Linked DNA regions of Nothobranchius furzeri. The protein of the gene in region 2 interacts with the protein of the main gene of each other region in a pairwise test. Links are inferred from orthologs where the notes say so. Each region holds a gene or a part of one and is shown on either strand. Other genes may lie near its edges.

What was found.
Region 1: the proteins of kif20a (region 2) and atosb interact in binary tests that used the Homo sapiens proteins (3 or more experiments, as listed by UniProt). The two-hybrid records come from large-scale screens. The link is inferred for Nothobranchius furzeri from reciprocal best matches to the Homo sapiens genes KIF20A and ATOSB.

Annotation. Positions count from the first base shown.
Region 1 is NC_091757.1:57,317,971-57,323,511, reverse strand, and holds the start of atosb (atos homolog protein B), read right to left. Parts: upstream 3,783-5,541; 5' UTR 3,579-3,782; intron 1-3,578. UniProt on the Homo sapiens protein: Transcription regulator that may syncronize transcriptional and translational programs.
Region 2 is NC_091750.1:46,183,180-46,188,046, forward strand, and holds the end of kif20a (kinesin-like protein KIF20A), read left to right. Parts: coding exon 1-50; intron 51-210; coding exon 211-423; intron 424-551; coding exon 552-663; intron 664-1,082; coding exon 1,083-1,157; intron 1,158-1,237; coding exon 1,238-1,378; intron 1,379-1,464; coding exon 1,465-1,633; intron 1,634-1,701; coding exon 1,702-1,854; intron 1,855-1,995; coding exon 1,996-2,135; intron 2,136-2,301; coding exon 2,302-2,404; intron 2,405-2,496; coding exon 2,497-2,713; intron 2,714-2,788; coding exon 2,789-2,880; intron 2,881-2,963; coding exon 2,964-3,101; intron 3,102-3,479; coding exon 3,480-3,833; 3' UTR 3,834-4,379; downstream 4,380-4,867. UniProt on the Homo sapiens protein: Mitotic kinesin required for chromosome passenger complex (CPC)-mediated cytokinesis. Following phosphorylation by PLK1, involved in recruitment of PLK1 to the central spindle. Interacts with guanosine triphosphate (GTP)-bound forms of RAB6A and RAB6B.

The DNA of each region.
Region 1 (5,541 bases), on a different chromosome or scaffold from region 2:
GGATTGATATCGGTATCGGTCAGTATTGAAGGCTGCAATATCTGTATTGTATCGGAAGTGAAAGCTGAAAGCTGCATTTGGAGATCCCTACCGAAACTACTCTGGGTACCTCGCCTCTCCATTCCCTGATGAGTCGTTGTGTTGATTAGATGCAGGAAGGTGTGACCTAGACTGAAACTGCTTAGGAATGAGATTCACAGCTGCATTATAGATACGAGAAAGGTTAAATATAAGCCCCCCACCCCTATTTAAAGTGGTATTTCACGTTTGACATAGATAGCTTCTTTTACTCCTTTCTCACACCATCTATCTTCTCTGTCCAGAATGTGTCCCTCGTTCTTCAGGTGTAGGTGGACTGCAGAGTCGTGACCTGAAGAGGTGGCTCTCCTGTGTTGTGCCATGCTCTTGTGTAATTGTTGTTTAGTTTTCTCAGCGTGAAGATCTGGGCAGTCCTCCCTGCACTGGACTGCATAAACGACCCCACTGAGCTTCTGTTTGGGTGTTTTGTCTTCTGGATGGACCAGGTTCTGTCTGAGGGTGTTGTTGGGTTTAAAGTTTACCGGGATGTTGCGTTTGGAGAAGACTCTTCTAAGTTTCTCGGAGACTCCTGCCACGTATGTGATGACGGTGCCTTTGCGCCTGTTAGCCTTTCCTTTTCTGGTTGCTGCTTTGGATGCTTTTCCAGACTGCATCTGCAGTTTTGGAGAGCTTTCTTGATGCGCTTTTCTTCCTTTTGTTTTCCTTCAGTCTTTGTGGGAATGTTCTCGGCCCGATGGTGTAAAGTCCTGATGACTGACATCATGTCTGTGAATGCTGCAAAATCAGTTTGAACTACTTAAAAGCACTTATAATGAAAACGCTCAACATGTTAATTAACCCCCACGAAATTACCGACGATTCTAATCATGTATGGGAATAAAAGTAGCGTGGGTCAACATGGGTCTCGTTTTCAGTTCAAACTGATTAGATTCTTAAAGGTGTGGAACACTCATTTAATCAATGCATTTGCAGTGGTCTAAAGTAGGAATGAATGAGTTGTAAGCAGAGGCTGACCCACATATTCAATTTTTTCTATATCGGCCATCAGCTAAAATGATCTATAAAAGCCGATAAAAATATATATTGTTTAAAAATCAGGCACCCGTGTGGCCAACTGCCCCCACTACTAGACTGAAAAAAGGACCCAAAGGACCCCAACACACTATTTTTTTAATGTTTTGAGTTTGTTTTATATTTGAAGTTCAATAAATAAGCCACAGGCTATGTTTTTGTTATTCAAGTATAACACGTTAAAAAAACTACTGCAAATGTAGTTATGAGCCTAGAAGCTTAGAGAAATTTGCTTTAAGTGAGAAAATGGGAATTTTAACATTTCTATAAGGTCTTCACCATCTCATCTGGAAAAACGGTTGCAGAAAAGGTCCATCAAAATATTCGTGGCATCTCGAGGTGTGAGGATATTTGATTTCTAGGTGAAAAAGGTTCTTCTCCTTACCTGTGCTTTTCACCAAAGTGATCTTTCATCTCAGCCTTTGCTGTCTGAGATGAGTGAACCACTGAGCACCGCCCTCACAAACGCACAATTTTCTACTTTCAAACGTAACCCCTGTAGAGGCATTTCTCCCTGTTTTTAGTTTCAGGGAATTAAGTTCTAGTGTGTGTGTGTGTGTGTGTGTGTATACACACACACACACACACACACACACACACACACACACACACACACACACACACACACACACACACACACACACACACACACACACACAATCAATACAACCCCAGAGCTGTGATGAGGACTGGATCTAACCTACATAATCATCTGTAATCTCTGACATCAAATCCTGCAGGGGCACATTGGATGACTCACAAAAAGCTCCCAACAGCTCACGGTGTTTAATAATCACACACACACACACACACACACACACGCAGGCATGCACAGGCATACACACATATACAGCAGGTAAAAACCAGCATCATGGACTGCATCCATAACATCAGACAACCAGAAGAAATATAGGATGTTCACTTGATTTGGACAAAGACAGGCTGGACACACAGAGGACAGCGGGATGAACAGTGTCCTTTAGGTAGCGTGGTTTATCAGATGACCTGCCCATGTATAAAACTGAGTGTAGGTGCAGAATCAGTGGTATTATTATAAACCTCTTTACATGCATTATCTGAACTAGACACTGGTGATTACTTATGATAAAATGAAAGCATGCACATTTAACCCTTTTCTTGCACAACTCTGTGTTCTTCCTTGATAATTATCTACAGATGTATTAAAACTCAGGTCTACGACGCAGAACTCTACATGTTGAAGTAGGAAATCCAGGAAGTCATGGCTGGGGTTTCCTGAAGTTCCTTTGCTTTCATACTTTTACCTTTGCAGTGTTTGATCTTCTCTTTTGAAATGAACAGATCTACTGAGTTCCTCTGTCTCACCTGGCCATACTGCATTCATTAGAGAGAGCTTCCTTCTTTCCCAGGGAGGTGGGGAACCTAAGACCAAGTGTGTTTGAACATATGACATGCCCAGACCTAGGTCTCTTGAACAACATGTACACTGCCGTCAGGGCTGGTTACAGCAAATATCTGCATGACGTCACACTCAGCTGAGGACAAAGCCCACTGCTTTCTCCCAGACAGAGAGAGGTGGGGGTGGGCATAAGGAGCAATGCATGTACTGTGCTGCTGCAATGTAGATATGGACACTGTGTGTGTGTGTGTGTGTGTGTGTGTGTGTGTGTGTGTGTGTGTGTGTGTGTGTGTGTGTGTGTGTGTGTGTGTGTGTGTGTGAAGCAAGCAGCTGCAGGATTTCCATGTGCACCAGTGCTTTATGAGTGAGGCAGTGTGAGACTGCAAACATGTGTGCATAATGTGCACGTGCAAGCACCAAGCCACTGTGTTCCATTTTTACAACACAGTTTAAGGCCAACAGAAATGTCACCTTTGCAGTGAGAACTGTTAAACATCAGTGCATGATCACTGCTGAAGCAATGCAACTCCCAAGAGCAATCCAAGGGAACAATACACCCACTGCAATGCTATGCTCCCCCCTATGAGCTTTGCAGGGATCATTAGCCCAAGATTTATGCTCAGTCATAACCTCACATATAATACATCACTCATTCTAGCTGATCTCTTTCTCTGAACATAGATGGACAACCAGAGGAGGAGCAAGAAAATACAGCATTTTCTTATCAGATGCACATGAAACCATAACAGGACACTGGGCTTATTCTTTAACTTTGTGTCTCTAAGCGTTGCAGATTGCATGCAAACACATAAAAAGTGAGACAAAGCAGGGGAACGCCCCCTGTAACCCTACTGTCAGTCCATCAGCTGTCTCAGTATGAATTCCTGCATTGTTTGATCTCATTCACATTTTTAAATGATGACTGATCCCATGCACGCTTACGGGGCAAGTATTTCACCTGAAGCCTTTTAAATTACTAGGTAAATATCATTTTGTCTCGTTTCCTTACTGACACACTTACGCACACAACGTATGAATGCGGTTTAAAAGACAACTAGTTTGGCTAAATGCTGGTTCTAGCGTCACTAACCTCACGGAAGGACCCGCTCCTCGGCAGGAAAAACACGTCCAGGCGTTCAGAACCGAGCGTCCGTGTCGTCTCGGAGTTTGGCCTTTTTGTTATCTCTGTCGTGAGGAGTGCTACGTTGTCGCTTTTCCAGGTGGCTAACGGCAGAAGACCGAAGCATTAGCTCTAAATGTGACGTGGGAATGGTTCCGTTCGTTTCTGTCTCGTCCTCTCACCCAGCCCTGAAACACAGACGAACATAACGTCCTTTCCTCAACGTGCCTGTCTTCTTTTTTTGTGTGTTCACAGCTGTTTTCGTGGTTTAGAGCAAAAATATGCCTCCTGTCTCTTTAAGAATCGTTTCCGGGGTTTACTGACAACTCCGCGGTAGGCGGGACTTAACGGCCAGCTGGGTTCTTATCGTTAATGCGATTGGCAGTTCGCATCCTGGTTAACCAATCAGCACACAGAGACCATAATCCACTTTAAGATATGCAGATTTATTCAAAAACACCTCAACGCCATTGGCTGTTGGATAACTTTAAACTCCACCCAGTACACGTGCTTTCTACCCTCCCGGACTTTAGTGCCAGCCAGGGAAGGCTTTTGTGCTCGGCCTAACGTAATCAGCCGTTTCTTCCTCTAAACTCTCAACACTAATGTTCAAAGAAAAAATCATTAGCAAATAATATCATCGATACTCGCAGAAATGACAGAAGAACTATGCTAATCCCCCTCTTTCCTCACATATGAACTGAATTAGTGAGAGCCATGTTGTCAGAGCTAAGAATAGACCAGCTATATGCTGTATCCTCATGCTGCCCTGGATCCACGCCTGTCTACCCACAGCACACCACTTTGCCCTTAGAGGAGGCCTGACGCGACAAATGAAGGCCCAGAGCACACAGGACACTGCTCTAGGCAACTTAGTTCCTCTAATAAACTCTTCTTGGCTGCCTTCTGGTTTTCAATTCAATTCAAAAATACTTTATTAATCCCAGAGGGAAACTGATTGCTGTAGTAGCTCAGAATAATAATAATAATCAAGTCATCAAAGAGGTGTTGTATATTACAATGGCTGTTGGCAAGAAGGATCTCCAGTAGCGGTCAGTGTTGCAGCCAAACTGAAGAAGCCTCTGACTGAAGACACTCTTCCGTTGTCGGACAGTCTTGTGAAGAGAATGCTCAGGGTTGTCCATCATGTTCTTGATTCTCTGGAGAGTCCTTCTTTGCATGATCTCCTCCAGCGGTTCCACAGTCGTCCCCAGAACAGAAGCAGCCTTTGTTATTAGGCTGTTGAGCCTTTTCAGGTCCCTGCTTCTGATGCTGACCAGCACCTGATTTATCATTGCCCATTATGATAGATGGAAGAGATGGTTTGAATTTCCTCTTTCTCTGTCTCCGTTGTGCTCCCGCTCTGCACCCACGCTTCTTGCGTTTTAGCTCATGTGGGATTTGTGGCTTCAGTTGAGGTATTATTTCAACCTTTCCAATGTTAATCAGCTGCTCCCGATTGTAAACCAGCCTGTTGCCATGGTTACGCATCATAACAAATGCTCAAAAAGTGAAAAAATTGCAGTAAAAATCCTCCAAGCTTCACAGCACCAGAAACAGAAAAGTAAAGTGTCAAAAAATACAGTTTTTCTTGAGAAACTAGAAGAAAAAATGTCCAAAAAAGGCAAAACTTACATATAGTCAACAGAGCTACTCCAACATGCAGCCGCCCAGAGCAGCCAAGTAAAAATCAGGACTTAAGTTAGGGTTAGGATTGTAATAATTAAAGGCAAAATGGTACAAATTAATTAAGCATGCTTGATGATCACCAACCGTTTACAAAGACTTCTGCCAGACTGGATCAAATATTTAAAGAGCAAGTCACCCCCAAATCTACCTTTTTTCTTCTGATAAACTATATTAATGCGTGTCTAATCGTGATGCAGACATGTAGTTAATAGTTTAGCACTTTAGTTAAACTTTTTATTTTCTG
Region 2 (4,867 bases):
CAGTGGCATCGGAGGACTCTCTACAACTAGCTTCACCACTCAGCCTGAAGGTGAGGCGTTAATCAGACTAAGAAAAGCATCAACCGTTCTGTTAGCCAAAGATTTCATTCCCAGCTCCCCGTCGGTCCCGTTTGCACTTGTATAAAAACATAACTAGAGTTTAAGTCTCAGCTGTGTAACTGATGTGTGTGTGTGTGTGTGTGTGTGTAGATGCTAACACCGTGTGTCTGGAGCCGGACAGTCTGTCCCTCAGTGGGGGGGTGGACCTGGAAGAAGGGGTTCAGTTTTCCATCTGGGTGTCCTTCTATGAGATCTACAACGAGTTCCTTTACGACCTGCTGGAAGCTTCGCCCTCCCAGCAACCCCGAAAGCGAGCGACGCTGCGTCTGAGTGACGACAAGCAGGGCAACCCCTACGTCAAAGGTAATTCAGACTCTTTGCTCCTCTAGTGCAACTGCTTTGGGGCTCTTCTTGGAGAATGGTTTCCATTGATTTCACTTTTATTTGGACACAATACTTGCTACTTTTATAATTTCCTTCTGCTACATCAGATCTGACCTGGATCCAAGTCCGCAGCGCCGAGGAAGCTTGGAGGATTCTGAAGGCTGGACGTCGTAGCCAGAGCTTCGCCAGCACCCACCTGAACCTAAACTCCAGCAGGAGGTGGGCAAACATTAAACTTTTGCTTTGGGAAAACATGTTTAGCAGAAAAGTTACAGATAATTGGCTCGTGATTGGAACTGGCCGGTATTCACGATGATCAGCTTAATGGGTGATTGGCAGATCTGAAGTAAAAAAAATGGCTTTATTATGTTTTGGTCCAGGATTACACCTTTGTGATGCAGCCATACAGACTTGGGAAGTTTCCTGGTGGGTGAACCCGCCATCACCGAGTGCTGAGTCGTGTTAACGATATTTCTAAAGTTGTTGATTTCAAACAGCTCTTTGAGACTAACCAGAATCAGAGTTAAGCTGCACAAAAATAGGAAATCGTTATCGGCCCTAGAAACCAGAATCGGTGCATCTCCGGTATTTAGTCGGACTTTTTGCGTTGCTCATTGTAAAATCATTTCTGATTTTAGCCACAGCGTCTTCTCAGTCCGTGTGCTGCATGTCCGCCCAGAGGCCGCTTCAGGTCAGGCCATGCACATCAGCGAGTAAGTTTACCCTTTATTACTGTAAACTTCACCTGTTTTACTGTAAAAAGTCCTGAAGCTAAGCTCCGTCTGCCCGGCAGACTGACTGTGTGTGATCTGGCCGGGTCTGAGCGCTGTAAGGAGCAGCGTAACGGTGAGCGGATGAAGGAGGCCAACAACATCAACACCTCCCTCCTGACACTGGGGCGCTGCATCGCTGCCTTAAGGCACAACCAGAACAAGTATGCTCCGAACCCGGATGGTTATGCAGTATAATAAAAAAATGCAGTTTCTAAAATCTCCTGGAACTTTTTTAACTCGTCTGCAGGTTGCGACCCCCTCAGGTGGTGCCCTTCAGGGACAGTAAACTGACCCGGGTTCTGCAGGGATTCTTCTGTGGCCGAGGGACCTCCTGCATGGTGGTCAACATTAATCCGTGTGCATCCATCTACGATGAGACCCTCCAGGCACTAAAGTTCTCTGCTATCGCTACCCAGGTAAAAACAAAACACTCCCACACGCCATTAACTTCTGAGTTCAGAGATGAGGCATGTTGTCATTTCAGCTCGTCCACGGCCCGTCCACAAAGACCAGAGTGGCCTACATCCTGTCGCTACTGTGCGAGCCGGCGGCTAACCGTGATGGAAGCACAGTGATGGAGGAAGAAGAGGAGGAAAGTGATGTTGAAGATGGAGATATCACGTTGTTGAATATGGAGGTGTGTTTGAGTTTGCAGACGCGGGATCTCGTAGTGCTTTGTGCACGTTTGGATAAATGCAAACATTCAAGATAAACATGAGTTCAAGGTGCATTTCCATCTACAGCGAGTTGTTCTAACACCCGGTTGTACGTTATTAAGACTCTGCTGCAGGTCATCGATGTGCTGAAGAGAGAAGTGCGCCGCCAGCGAGTGGAGAAGGAAGTCCTGGAGGCTAATGTGAGGGAGGAGGTGGTCTCGGAGGTGATGGTGGTCATGTCTGACATGCGGAAAGGATTCAAGTATGTGTGCTTGGTTTTGTTCTTGCTCTAATGTACGCAGAACCTGCCGTGGCATCATGTTTTAGATGCTTCTGAACTAAATAGTAAACACACAGCTGATCGTCAAGCGAGAAACAAGAGTGACCTGTTTGACATTAAGATGCTAGTCTGTCTTCTTGTCCTGAAGCGAGTCCTTGGAGGCTGAAAGGGCCATAATGGAGGAGAGATGTGAGGACAGGATAGCTAATCTGCAGAAACACCTGAAGATGTTCTACAGCCAGCAGCTTCAGGTGAGGGTTTGGACTTCTTTAAAGCTTTTGTAAGGTCTTCTCTCTAATCCTATCAAAGGTTTGAGGAGAACCTGCTTCCTGTGTTTCTGTAGGAGCGTGATGAAGAGATCAAGGAGTTATCCACTGCCCTTGAACAGGAAAAGAGGAAGCACGAGTCTGTGCCGTCCACGGCCTCTCCTGTGGACTCGGAAGGCCCTCGGCGCTCTCACCGCCTCATGTCTCAGGCCGAACCGAGGCTGCACGCCGAGCTCGATCAGTGTCGCGCTGAACTTGATCAGTGTCGCTCGCAGCTTTTCACAAAGACCCAAGGTCTGGCTGCATGATGCTTTGTGTTCTAGTGTTGGGATGCAGGTGTTAACAATCTCACTCTGCTCGCGTCTGCAGAGCTGACAAAGCTGAAGATGCAGCTAGAAGTTCCAGGTTCAGCTGGCGCCATCACCAGTGCTGCTGACCGCAAGCTGCAGGAGGGCCAGAGGGTCAGTACCATCTTAGGTCTTAACCCTACCCGTGACCCTCATCGCCTTCACGGACAACAAAAATGTCCTTTCCCTTCCAACAGAACCTGCAGAAGCTGCGTCTGGATTTGCAGAGGCTGGGAACCGATCTGCAATCTGGAGAACGAGCTTGTTGTCGTAACACCGGAGGGGAACGGCTGCGTCACACGCTAACGGCAGCAGACGAGACTCTGGCTAAGCAGGTACAACGTGTGAAAACCGAATAAGTTTGTTTCCATTTCTGTTCTGAAGCAGCGCTTTAGTCTCAACATGCAGAAAACCTGGTTAACTAGCCCGGTTCCCGCCTCTTCAGCTGTAGTTTTACTTTCATGCTGATTATAATGTCAGTTCTCATGTTGACCTATGCTCTCTCTCTCTCCCTCTGTCTGCTCTCCTAACACTCCTGCTGCACAGCCAGCTTTAAAACTACATTTAGGTTTCTAACGTCTTCACCAGGTGTTTGCTAAGCTAATCAAAGCATGTAGCATTTTTCCTCCCACTCTTTTCATCCTTCCACCCCCACGATCTCACCCTTCCTCCGCTGTGGTCTGGTCTAACCCTGTTCACTGACTCTTTCTCAGAACCAGATCCTGATGGAGCTCCAGAACAACCTGACTCTGGTCAAGGCAGACTTGAGGCGAAAAGCGGAGACTCTGGCGGGGTGTGCCCAGCTGCCCCCTACGAGCTTCGCCGCTCCCACCACACCTGGTTCCTGCAAAAAGAGAGGCGGCACAGCGACCACCCCAGCTGGAAGCGAAAACCACCCTCCACAGAAACGGCCTTTCTTCCAGTCTCTGTTCCCGCCTCGTAAATACAACACCCGCGTCGCCGAAGAAGCCTGCATGACCCCGTACACGCGGATCCTACGATCACGCCAGCCATCTCCTCCTCCCAGCCCTGTCCCGACCCCACGCTCTCTCAGGGGCAAATACTGAGCTCCTCAGTGAAAAGCCTTGCTGCTGCTTAACTCTATGGCATTGCTTTATATTTGAGACTATTTTTGCCGTGCAGTTTTTTATCCGTAATGCCAGTAACACGATCAACGCTTTAAGGCAGGAGTGTGAAAATCAGCCACCTGTCTGTGTTGCCTTCACTTGCATCAGCGATAAGTCAAACTAATTTGTGTGGTCACATTTAATCTGTTGCAGATTAAAGAAAGATTTGCATGTAACACAAACACAGCTACGGCGTCTATGGGCTGCTGCTGGAGATTAGTATGACTCCCTCTGTCTCTGGAAGCACTTTTATGTTTTATCCCAGTGATCCACTGCATGTCTGATTCTGTGGGGATTCTTTTGTTACTTCGGTTTGTTTTTCGGGACTAAATTAAACTTTTATTTCTTATTTGGGGGGGGGTGTGTCTGTGGAGTTTGACTGTAAAGAATTAGAAAGTGATTTGTAAATAATTTAGTCCTTTCTTTGTGCTGTCTGTCCTTTCCTTCATCTTTATTTCATTTGTATTAAAACATTTAAAGGGACAATGTAGTATTTTTTATTGTTAATTTCTGGAAGTATCCAAGATTTGAAAATGAATGAAATGACGCCCAGTTAAAATATTAGCGGCTTTGTAACGTATAACCATAAAAAAACGGTCTAAAATACATGGAAACGGGTCGAAGGCCCGATCTCAACACTTGCACTGCGCCCTGCAGCAAAGTGCACTTGGAGAACGTGCGCTGTAGAGTTCGAGTGTGTAGTACACAAGCGTGCAAATAATTGCAGAATTGAGACGGGGAGCAATGCATCAACTTCTGCACTTGAGAATCGGGACATCCTACGCACCCGCACCCCTGGCCGGGAACGCTCAATTCAAGGGTGCAAGAGGAAGTACTGGGATTGGGTCCAAGTCTCTGGGTGACGCAATATTATGGGTCATTCCCATCTGTACCGGGCCGGGTAGCGTAGGTTGTTTACATATCTGGGTGGCCTGGTATTTTTCCAGGCCAACCAAGGCTCATTCTCAGCCCTC